Linked DNA regions of Rattus norvegicus. Each later gene encodes a partner of the first gene's protein in a complex. Links are inferred from orthologs where the notes say so. Each region holds a gene or a part of one and is shown in the gene's direction. Other genes may lie near its edges. The genes, in order: Ppp2r5c, Ppme1 and Crybg1.

Region 1 (4,427 bases):
TCCGTAAAATAGCCATTCTTCTGTCAAATACACATTGCGGCTGGTCATTCTTACCTACAGATTAGTTTTATTTAGGTACACATTCAGACACCAGCAGACAAAACCCACTCTCAGAACCTCTCACTTTTGATCTCCTTTTTTTTTTTCCCTCGAAAGCTTGGGTGGGAACAACTGAAAATGCTTTACTTGGCATTTTCAAGGGTTAAAACACAAACAAAACAAAAAACAAGGGTTAAGATACATCAATTTTCAGTGCCTTGGCCTGGGGATGTAGCTGAAGGTTCCAGCGTTTGTCTAGCATGTTCAAAGCTTATCCACAAAGACAGCTCCTAAATCCTGAGTGAGCGCCTAGTCTCCTGCCGTTGAAACAGTTCACTCCTACAGTCTTCCTTCCAAGTGCTCCCCCTCAATATAGGATGTCAGACACTGACAACTCCAAAAAAAGGACTGTGTAAGTAGCGAATTAGAAGGCTAAGCTTCTTCTCTCATAAAGAGCTACCAGAGAAGTGATCGTTGGTCTTCATGCAGTTTTCTCACAGGCTTACGACCACTGGTAGAGAATAACAATCTCAAAAGCGCAGGGCTGCTCAGATGTAATGGGCACGGTGGGGAAAAAGCCACCACTGATGTGACTGTATCTCAGGTAGGCCGAGTCGACGGGAGGGGCGTGCAGGTAGAGTCTCCCAGGGTGCAGCTGATGGGCTCGGCCTCGGTGGATCCAATCCCCAAGACGTAAGATGGGCGTTGCCTACGTTGGGAAAGCCGGTTGCCTTGCGGGTGGGTCTTGAAGTGAGAAATCTCGGCGTGCAGGACCCCAGGGGAACTGTGCGGAGTCTACACTTAGACAGCGGTGGGTGGAGCCTGCTCTGGGGAAGAGTTCCTTTGCTCGCGTGGGCGGGGACGAAGGGGAGGCGTGGACTCGATGGGAGGGGCTTAAGTGAGTCCCGCCTCAGAGGCGTGCGGTGGGCGGAGCCCTCCCCGGAGCCAGCAGCATTGCCTTCGTGGGCGGGGCCTTATGGCCCAAGGAAACCGCCGCTCGCGCGGTCCCGGGTCTTCTCCGCTCTGCACGAGCGTCGTCGCGACCAGGCTTACAGGACAGAGCTTTTCGTGCCTGGACGGCTGCAGAATAGTTGCCATACATTTCACATGTGCATTTCCGCTCCTCACTGTCGTGTTTCCCTCCCCGTCCCGGCTCAGCGGCCGTGACTTTATCACCTCCGTCGTACTCACACACATCCCTCTCCCCCAATAGCTCGCTCCCTAGTGGCTCCACCAAAACCTTTAAGACCCGGGCAGCGCGGCCGCACACGAGACGGTCCGCACCGAGGGGGTGGGGACGGGCCGCGCAGTGGGCGGGGCGACGCTGCGGAGCGTTAGGGCACGTGGGGCCGTATCGGCCAATGGCGTGGCGTCGTTGAGGGCGGCGAGGCGGGGAGAGGGCAGCGTGGGGCCGGCGCGGGGCGGGGCCTGGGGCGGGGGCGGGGCCTGCCGGGAGAGGGGCGGAGAGACGCCGCCGCCGCTGCCGCCGCCGCCGCCGCCGCCGCGGCTGCCGCAGCCTCTGGGAGCCTGGAAAAGGGGAAGCGAGAGCGGACGAGCGACTCAGTCCCCGGGCGGCGGCTGCAGCGGCGGCGGCGGCGGCCGGGGCGGCGCGACGGCCGGGCCGGGGGCGCTTCTGCTGCTGCAGCGGCAGTGGCGGCGGGCGGCGGCAGGGGCGGCGGCGGCGGCGGCCCGCACCAGCCATGCCGAATAAAAACAAGAAGGAGAAAGTGAGTCGGGGCGGGGGGCTCTGGGACCGGGTCGGGGATGCCCGCGTCGTCGGGTAGGGGCAGACGGCAGGTCGTCCAGGCTCGCGGGCGGGCCCAGGGCGCTGGCAGGATTGCATGGAGCTGGGGAGGCCGCCCAGGCTCTGAGGTGGCGCTGAGGTGCCGCGGTCGCTCTGGGTGGCGGCGGATGCTCCGTGCAGTGCTCTGCGTGGCGGGGGCTGGGGTGCTGGAGCGTTCAGGACTCGCCCCAGAAACCCTCACTTGGAGGTTTAAGGGTGGGAGGGGAGAAGGGGATGGGCGGAGAGCACTGGGTTTATCAGTCCCTACCTGGAGTTTTCACCTCGCCCCCACCCCCAACACAGACATGAAGAGAAACGGAATTTGAAGGCTCCTGGTACTCAATATGATGTAGTTTGCTGCTGGCGTATTAAAGCCATCAGAAGCTCTCGGTGATAGGTATCTGTTTGGAAACTGCATTTGAGCTGATGCTTAGCGGTCCAAATACTGAGAACGCTAATTGGATTTTTGTTGTTGTTGTTGTTGTTTGTTTTTGTTTTTTTGTTTTGCTTTTTTTGTGATGATTTCCAGGAACCACCAAAACCGGTGAAAAGTGGAAAAGGTTCAAAAGAAGGACAAGATACAGCAGAAGCAGAGGTAACCACTGTAATACTCTCTGTTTTTCTGGAGCAGATTTTAATCTAGGGTCTAACAGAGAGGGTAATAAAAACCAAAGTCTCCTAAAGTGTGTAAGACTTTCTGAAGTCTTTCTTCTCATATGAGTTAGTTATCTTTATCCACTTTCATTAAAGTGTGCTGACATTTTAAAAACAGTTTCTCGTGGCTTCTAACGGAGCTCAGGCCCTCCCAGTGAACTGGTCTCATACGGAGTCTCTAGCTTTAGGGTCCGCCCCCTCATTCCTTTTCTGTTTCTCAATGACTCTTCCACAGTCCTTGCTTCGCTCAGCCTCTTGAGCTGGTTGGTGTCCTGGGGCAAGCTTCTCTCTTCTGCTGGTGGCCGGTCCTTTTCAACTAAGAAGTGTGAATGTGTTGTGATAGCTCGAATACGGGTACTTAAAGTCTTCTATTTCCTTTCCCTCCAGCTCTCCCATCCTCATTGGTGAATTCTCGACTTTTCTTGCTTCCTGACTTTGGCTTATTTCAAGAATATCTGGAATAACACCTTGGGTCCTTGGGTCATTTGGTGGAATTTGTGATCCTTAATGGAGTTGTGCCTTTGGGGGATTTGCAGGGCAGCCTGTTTATTTATTTAGCTTTGTTTTGTATCTCATTGTCTTGGAACTAGAGCGCCCAAGCCACAAGGCCCAGGTTTTAGTGTAAGGGGGCCTAGAAGCTGCTCCTCAAGTCTCCCTTCTCCAGAGCTGGATCTTTGAGATCTTACCACAGACTTTTTTTTTTTTTTTAATGGTTCTTTTTTTTTCCGGAGCTGGGGACCGAACCCAGGGCCTTGCGCTTCCTAGGCAAGCGCTCTACCACTGAGCTAAATCCCCAACCCCACCACATTTTTAATTTGTGGATGTTAGGCGTCCTCTTCCTGAGAGCCACATTAGAATGAGTTAAATTCTGCCCGGAGAAACACAGCTAACTGTCAATAATCTGCAGGGGTTATTTTAGCTTCAGGTTGTCCCTCCCTCCCCCCATTTGGTGTGTTCTAAGCCTCCCTCCTCTGCAGCAGGTGGTTCATCCTAGCAAATCTGTTGCCCTCCCTAGAGCCGAAAGCAGAAATCCAAAAGGTTCCTGAAATACCAGGAGATAGGATTGTCTGTGTCGGTCTTCACCTGCCCTTTCTGTACTGCAGATCATGGTGTCTTTCCTGTGGCACGCTAGTGTCTGACTGCCTTCCACAGCCATCCCTTCAGCGATGTTCACAGCACACGTAGTTGCTTTGCGTGGTAGATATACACTGTGTGCCTTGTTGTCCTGTCATTAGGACGGCTAAAACTTCTTACTGTGCCCCAAAGCTTCCTCGCTCAAACATACCGGTGTCCTGCTGCTGTTGGAGGACACAGAGGATGTCAACATGTATGTTCATTTCTCCCTAGTTTAGCCAAAGGACCTTGCTGTAAGGATAGGGTAGATGATTAGGTTAGGTTTGAATCCAAAACAAAAACAGAAAACCCATCCCAGTAGAAAGATGTCCACACCACTGCTGTGTCTGTCAAGGTCTTGGGGATTTTACTGTCAGCTGTGTAGGGCTCCGGAGTGTGGCCTGCAGTGCCCGGTGTGATGCCCCAGTTGTCTTTCTGTATCTTTTCTAGTGCTACTGTCTAAGAGCTGGAGTCCCAGAGCTCAGAATGAGCACTGAAAAACACTGAGATGTTGGGCGCCTCACCCCTTTCTCAGAAGGATGCCTGAGGTGACGTGACTCGCTAAGCTTGACCCTTAGCAGATCACTGTTTAGATTATTTCCCGGGAGTGCAGATGAAGGCGCTGTAGCTACCTTGACCTCTGAGTTACTCTTACTTTCTGATCACCGGCTCCTCCCCTCAGCCTTTGGCTCTGTTCTTCCCTGCTGGTCCCACCCACTTAGTGTGATTGACTCAGCCAGTGAATTAAGTCATTACTGCACAGGCTTCTCTCCTCCGATTACTCTGGGATGTTTTAACCTGAATGGTGTAAATGGGTTTGGTATTCCCACTGCTGCTC
Region 2 (3,645 bases), on another chromosome or scaffold:
AAGAAGAGAGTGAGAGCTGAGTGAGAGCTGTCCCTTCAGTTTCTCTGCCCATCCCTGCCCTTCTTATCCTCTGTTGTCCCTTGTCACACTCTGTTCTCAAAGGCAAAATAAATAGTCTCTGTCGTGGAGCACAAGCTCTGCCTCACTGCCCTCAGACCTTAGACTCACATTAGCACCTGTCAGAACCTTTCCCATCAACTCTTCTCTAAGAGGAATTGTAGGACCAGGTGCTTATGATTTTTCCATTAATGACATAGTAAAGAGGCCCCATTGTTTGCCTGCTTACTTGTTTAGGTTTGACAGTTTCATACACATACAGAAAAACTGTAGTCACTTACACCCCTGTCCACCCTCTCTCATTCCCTCCTGCTGAAACCCTTCTTCTTGCCAGTGAGTTTCCCTTCTTCTGTCATCCCTTGTTTGTGTAAGGGGCACCATTTCTCAGAAGAAGAAAATGGTGATTGATTGGATTGGGTGTTCAAAACTGCAGGTTCTGCTTGCCATGGTCATTGTAATTGCAATGCAGGACTTTTTACTGTCCTCTTTGGCCATTGTTCTGAACTCTTTAGGACTACTTCAAAGAATTGCTATGACAGTCATTTAAAAGTACCAATAAAACCATTATCATTATCCAGAAGATGGCCACTCCCTTTTATGGGTCCTTATTGGCATAAGAACTGAAAATTAGCTATTTGCATATAGCCACAGGTTGGCCTTGACCTCCCCCAGCCCTAAAACCACACATCTTCTGCCCAGGAATAGTTTTAGCTCTAACTTCTGATTATAAAGGGCCATAAGAGTATCTAATAAGACAATTTGATAAGACATTCATCAAAGTTTTTTTCAATCCAGGTGTGAAGGAATTACAAGTCCAGAAAGTTCCAAATCCATAGTAGAAGGAATCATAGAGGAGGAGGAAGAAGATGAAGAAGGAAGTGAGTCAGTTAACAAGAGGAAAAAGGAAGACGACATGGAAGTGAGTGAGGAAGGCCTCCTCCTCAGAGGATGGGGGGTGGGGGAGCAGGGATAACATTGTTATTTTTGTCCAGTTAGATACATTAGTGGGCAGAGACACCGCGGTAAGAGAGCATTGCCTGGAGGGCACTAATGCAGTACTAATGCAGCAGTTAGAGTGAGAAACTTACTCTGTGTTCCCCTCAGACTTCCTCACCAGGCTCCTCATTTGGTACCTGTATCTTTTGACTGTCCAGCTTTTACTGCCTTCCGAGGCTTGTCTCTTGGAACAAGCTTTCTGACCTCAGTGTCTGTCAGTCCATCTACATTGTAGACTTACAATGATATGTGCAATGTAACACTTCTGAAGTTTCGCATAGGGAGTCCCAATAATGAAGCCACAGATGCTGTGGATGCCTGACTGTCAGTGATGCCTCCTGTTGCCTTGTCATTTAATAGAAATCATTACCCAAGCAAACCAGTTGTGTTAAGTTCATGTCTGTGTAAGTAGGGATTCTGGTGGAGCAGTCTGTTTGAGGCTAATGATGGGTAGTGCTGCTTTGCGAGGTGCATTAGTGACTTCCTAGGGCGTATTGTAAGCACCTCCTTTCTGTCAGGTAATATTGGTGTTACTACACACTCCCTTGCCTTTGGGGGTGCTGCTCTTAGCAAGAAGAATACATATTTTTAAAGGATTTTTTTTTGCTTAATAAGGATCTTTCTGCCATTTTTAAGATCAATGATCAGAATATTTTATACTTCTTTAGAATTTACAAATGTATAAATAATACCTCATGTGTTTGGGCCTCGAAATACCTTGTAAGGTGAAGGGAGATTTTTCTCTCATACTATAATATAGTAGCATCTTAATTCAGAAATTGGATTTGGGAGTCTGAGGCAGAGGAATCAAAAATTCAAGGCCTGCCTGGAGTACATGATAAGTCAGGAGGTTGGGTGCCTTAGTGACACCTATCTTAAAATCTACAAGAAGGAGGAAAACAGAAAGGGCCAGGCATGTAGCTCAGTGGGAGGCACTCACACATGGAGGCCTAGCTCTCCATCTACCTCACCCCAATGAAGAGGTCTCCCTCTTTATTGTATCTGTAAGCAGCCACTTCCTGTTTCTCCTCAGCTCTCCTAGCTGAGATGATCAATCTACTTTCGGTCTGTAGATATGCTTAATCTGAACAGTACATATAAAAGGGACTATGGAATGTGTGGTCCTTTGTGACTGGCTTCTTTACTGTAGGTCAGGCTTTTCAGGGTTCATCCATGTGGCTGCATGTGTCATGCATCAGTGTTTGCCTTATTTGTATGTCTGAAAAATATTCTGTGGTATTGATATGTCACATTTTTAATATGTCCCTCAAATGATGAATATATAGATTTTTCTATAGAATTTTTCCCACTATGGAGAGCTAAGAGAATGAGGCTTCTGGTTTCTCCATATAGTTCCCATAGTGCTGTCTGTCTCTGAGTGCAGCCATCTCCTGTTTCCATGTTGCCTGCTGCTGTTGGGCATCTTTCCACTCTTACTGCCTAGCTGTGCCTGCATTCTCTGCATGGCTGCATTTGTTATCTCAGCACTGTAAAAGAGGCCTTGTATCCCCCACCAATACTTTTAATACTCTTAACAGAGGTCATTTGACTGTGTATCTCAGTGTCCATTTCTGGGACCTCCGTTTCCTTTGTCTGTCTTTAATGACACTATAAACTTTGTTGGTTTTGTGGTTCAGAAGGCCTCAGCACGCTCAACCTGTGCCTCTGAACTGTATATCTCTAAGTCCCAAACTCTCAATTACTACAGATTGTACTGTTTTGAAGTCAAGAATGAGTTCTCCAGATTTCTAACACTTTTGCAAAGTTGGTTGGCTATTCAGAATTGTATGTAGTCTTAGACAACTTTAAGATCATTGAAATATCATCCAAAAATACCACTTAGACTTGATTCCACTGACTGGCTCACTTTGGGTGCTGTGGACATCTTAGTCACCCACTGATCTTGAGCAGACAGTGTCATCTTGTCCACATCTAGATCTCCTGTTGCAGTTGGTGCTTCGTCCTGCCATTGCTTCAGTTGTATCTGACCTAGTTCTATGATGCAGGCAAGTAGGGGACTCAGTAGGTCACCTAAAGGTTTTTTGTTTGGTTGGCTTTATTTTCTCAAGACTGGGTTACTCTGTGTAGCCCTGGCTGTCCTGGAACTTGCTTTGTAGACCAAGCTAGCCTTGAACTCTGATCTGCCTGCATCTGCCTCACAAGTGCTGGGATTAAAGGCATGCTCTATCACAGCCCAGCTAGTTCACCTAATATTTGATAGCATACTGTGTGCCATTCACCACCCAGTTGTCAGATGTATTTGTCACGTCACCTTATTAGAACGACTGTCCCTGGTCATCATCATCAACCTGAAAATGAGAAAACAGCACTGTACTCACAAATGAGCTTGTTCTCTCCCAGACGTCTACCACGTTTCTCTGGTAGTCATCCTAACTTGAAGGACAGTCTCTGCTTTTTCTTTCACTTAGGTTGGTGGGGGGGAGGGGAGGGGTGGTGGCAGGGGTTCTTTTGTTTTATTTCACTATGTTCTTTGTGTGAATCTTTTGCTAATCTTTATACTCACTGAAAGGAAAGTTGTACCTTGGCTCAATAGTTATTTGCTTCCTAAATTTACCTAAAGTTACCAGTAGT
Region 3 (3,645 bases), on another chromosome or scaffold:
CGGGTTTTACGGGTCTCCCCAGGTGATCTGGTAATGGTTACTTCTGAAGCCATGTAAAAAGGTATTTTTATCAGGGCTGGAGAGATGCTCAATGGTTAGGGCACTGGTTGCTGTTCCAGAGAACCCGATTCAATACCTAGCAAAGGCATGGTAGCTTATAACTGTCTGTAACTCCAGTACCAGGGCCTTCTGACTAACAAGGATACTTGGTGCACATCCATACATGTGGGCAAAACATCCAACACATAAATCTTTAAAATCTGCTATGTGCAGTGTGTATTGTGAAATGTATTATACCTCCTTTTCTTCTTTTTTCTCTTGCTTTTCTGGGGATTGAACCCACAGCCTTGCACACGCTAGGTGAGTGCTCTGCCGTTGTGCCACATCCCTGACCCTCTTTTTACCTTTCTGTTTTGAGATGAAGAATCTGACTGAATTCCCTCGTCTGGTCCTGAATGCACTCCGTAGCCTAGGCATCCTTGGATTGGTGACTCTCACCTATTCTCTCCTGTAGCTGCAGGTGTGGGAAAGTGTCCCTCGGCCTCAGTGTGCACAGTTTCCTTTAGACTGGTGCTTGTCACATGATGGATAAGTTACTGGGGCAACGCAGTGTTTACAGATCCAATGGGGTGTGTGTATGAACACACTAACCAGCTTAGCTCTTTCCTTGACATGCAGTCTCCTGGTTGGGTCTTAGTCCGTGAACCGATATAAAACACAGATCTGACTTTTGGGCCCCAAATTTTCTAGTATCGTTGGAAATGCTCTAGACGTTAAAGTGAGTAGAAGCTTTAATACAGGTGCATTTGGAAAATCTTGTAGTGTAATCGTGTAAACTCACAAAGAACACTGACAATGCCTGAGTTAGAGCAAGATAGACTGCCTCAGTGCTGGTAAACGGTGGAGTAAATATGTTCTGATTTGAAGGATCTCGGGGAGAAAAGGCAACCGCCCCGTGATGCTGCAATTGTTAACCACATTTCCGTTCCTCTGATTGCAGACTCTTAGAGGAAGTATGCACAATAAACTCAATCCCCGGCCTGGCAAGGTAAGGTTATTCTAATTTCTAGTCCAGATTCTCTCCCGGTCTGGTGAAGGGAGACAAAATGCTGCCACTTCCATTGTCTTGCAGGTCGTGATATTCAGTGAGCCCGACGTCTCTGAGGAGTGCATCGAGGTGTTTGGGGACATCCAGGACTGCAGTTCTTGGAGCCTTTCTCCAGTGGTACTAGTGAAAGTTGTCCGAGGATGGTAAGAATGCGCCGCAGGTGCAGCTTACAGCTGGTGTCAGAGTGCACTGCAGGTGCAGCTTACAGCTGGTGTCAGAGTGCACTGCAGGTGCAGCTTACAGCTGGTGTCAGAGTGCACTGCAGGTGCAGCTAACAGCTGGTGTCAGAGTGCACTGCAGGTGCAGCTAACAGCTGGTGTCAGAGTGCACTGCAGGTGCAGCTAACAGCTGGTGTCAGAGTGCTCTGCAGGTGCAGCTTACAGCTGGTGTCAGAGTGCACTGCAGGTGCAGCTAACAGCTGGTGTCAGAGTACACTGCAGGTGCAGCTAACAGCTGGTGTCAGAGTGCACTGCAGGTGCAGCTTACAGCTGGTGTTTAGCTTTCTCAGTTATGATTTGGACCTCACCACATACTTATGTGTGTGCCTTTATCAGCATAAATGATTTAAAACACTGTTGATGGTAAGATAAGAAACCTGTGTCTAACACACATGGTTTTGACTGTAAAAGTGATAACCTGTTTAGACAAATCATAAAAATACAGTAGAACAAACTTCTTTTCCCCAGATATCTCCACATAACATTGCTTCAGATAGAATTGGGACCCATAGTATCGTCTTGGCTCATGGGTATCTAATGAGGTTGGTAAGGATTGCATTTGGAAGCTGGAGCAATGGCTTGGCAGGGAAAAGTACTTTTAGTTCTTCGAGGGGACCTGGGTTTGGTTTCCAGCATCCACAGGTTGCTTGACACCATCTGAAACTCCTGTTTCATGAGATCAGACATCTTCCTCTGGCCTCTGCTGGTACTGAATACAAGTACCCAGACAGACATACAGACCAAAACCACAAAAACAAAAACATGTAGAAACAAGTAAAGCTTATATATATTTTTTTTTTGGTTCTTTTTTTTTTTTTTTTCCCGGAGCTGGGGACCGAACCCAGGGCCTTGCGCTTCCTAGGTAAGCGCTCTACCACTGAGCTAAACCCCAGCTAAAGCTTATATTTTTAAAATCACATTTGTTTAGGCTGGAGAGATGGCTCAGTGGTTAAGAGCACTGACTGCTCTTCCAGAGGTCCTGAGTTCAAATCCCAGCAACCACATGGTGGCTCACAACCATTTGTAATGAGATCTGATGCCCTCCCCTCTTCTGGTGTGTCTGAAGACAGCAACAGTGTACTCATACATAAAATAAATAAATCTTATTGAACAATTACATTTGTTCTATTTATAGGTCAGGTGTGACTTGTTAAACCTGTATGGGGTTAAACAAAGCTGGATGTGGTTGCTCATGCCAATAATCCTAGCACTCAAGAGGTTAAAAGAAAGTCACTGTGAGTTCCAAGCCAGCCTGGTCTTATGTAGCAAGACCTAATCTCAAACACACGCACACCGGTGCACCCACACGGATCAGCATACACACGCACACGTGCACACACATGTACATGCTCACACATGCACATGTGCATACACACACACACACACACACACACACACACACACACGCACACACGCACGCACCCTGCAAAGCTAGCAAGCTCACTCACTGGGTAGAAGTGCTTGCCACCAAGCGTGGTGAGCTGAGCTCGTTTCCTAGGACACACACGGTGCTGGGAGAGCACTGACTCCTACGAGTTGCCCTCTGACCTCCACCTGAACACCGTGGATCACATACCCAGGCACACACACACAAATACATTTGAGAAATGGAAGCAAGATCTCACTATGAAGAGCAGACTGACCTTGAACTCACAGAGCTCGGTCTGCCTGCATCTGCCTCCCGAGGCTGGAGTTAAAGGAGTATATCACCACGCCCAGGCAATAATTTAATAAATCAGTAAACCAAATGAGCTTGTAGGGAAAGATAAATAAATTTCTAGGACTTCACTGAAGAAGTGAGCTGAAGTTTGACAAAAGTTAGTTTTGATTAGGAGATTAACGAAAATGTAAACACTGTGACAGTTTCTAAAATCTTTAGCTGGTTGGGTTGTCTCTCCGAAACGCACAGGAAGTTGAGTGAAGGGAAACAACTACAAACAATCAGGGTACCGTGTTTGTCTTCATTTTGTCTGTGCACGCTGGGCTGGGGACAAACACTATACACCAAACAGAGTTACGACCTAAAAAGTTAGCTGTGTTTCATTTAATCTCCATCTAATTAATTATACAACATCTTTTCCAACAGGACTTTTAATATTTTAATGTTTTTCTAAATAGTGAACATCTTCCCTAGAAAAACAAAGTGTACTTTCATTATCAAATTAGAAGACTGAAAATTACGCTAAAAACAAATTTTGCGAGATAATTTCGTTTGTAGCATGGCTGCTGCTATCTCTTTTGAAACCGTTTCTTGTTTAGTTTTAACAATTTATTTTTTAATTATGTATATGTGTGTGTGTTAGTGTTTGTGCGTACAAA

What was found.
Region 2: the proteins of Ppp2r5c (region 1) and Ppme1 are in contact, whole or in part, in a cryo-EM structure (PDB 7SOY), measured with the Homo sapiens proteins. The link is inferred for Rattus norvegicus from reciprocal best matches to the Homo sapiens genes PPP2R5C and PPME1. Residues at the interface, in NP_002710.2 of Homo sapiens: Asp180, His187, Arg188, Tyr190, Gly191, Leu194, Arg197, Ser230, Ile231, Gly234, Phe235, Ala236, Lys240, His243, Asp313, Gln341, Tyr348, Glu353, Tyr354, Glu399; in NP_057231.1 of Homo sapiens: Arg37, Lys38, Arg39, Asn192, Lys217, Val251, Glu252, Gly253, Ile254, Ile255, Glu256, Glu257, Pro345, Gln346.
Region 3: the proteins of Ppp2r5c (region 1) and Crybg1 are in contact, whole or in part, in a crystal structure (PDB 6VRO), measured with the Homo sapiens proteins. The link is inferred for Rattus norvegicus from reciprocal best matches to the Homo sapiens genes PPP2R5C and CRYBG1. Residues at the interface, in NP_002710.2 of Homo sapiens: Lys183, Thr184, His187, Tyr190, Gly191, Leu194, Arg197, Ala198, Arg201, Glu226, Ile227, Ser230, Ile231, Asn233, Gly234, Phe235, Ala236, Lys240, Glu242, His243, Pro265, Gln266, Tyr269; in NP_001358171.1 of Homo sapiens: Pro1136, Phe1138, Ala1139, Met1140, Pro1141, Pro1142, Ile1143, His1144, Glu1145, Asp1146, His1147, Glu1149.

What each region holds. Positions count from the first base shown.
Region 1 is NC_086024.1:135,281,433-135,285,859, forward strand, and holds the start of Ppp2r5c (serine/threonine-protein phosphatase 2A 56 kDa regulatory subunit gamma isoform), read left to right. Parts: upstream 1-1,601; 5' UTR 1,602-1,739; coding exon 1,740-1,766; intron 1,767-2,351; coding exon 2,352-2,417; intron 2,418-4,427.
Region 2 is NC_086019.1:164,089,166-164,092,810, reverse strand, and holds part of Ppme1 (protein phosphatase methylesterase 1), read left to right. Parts: intron 1-852; coding exon 853-976; intron 977-3,645. UniProt on the Homo sapiens protein: Demethylates proteins that have been reversibly carboxymethylated. Demethylates PPP2CB (in vitro) and PPP2CA. Binding to PPP2CA displaces the manganese ion and inactivates the enzyme.
Region 3 is NC_086038.1:49,047,041-49,050,685, reverse strand, and holds part of Crybg1 (beta/gamma crystallin domain-containing protein 1), read left to right. Parts: intron 1-1,000; coding exon 1,001-1,048; intron 1,049-1,132; coding exon 1,133-1,251; intron 1,252-3,645. UniProt on the Homo sapiens protein: May function as suppressor of malignant melanoma. It may exert its effects through interactions with the cytoskeleton.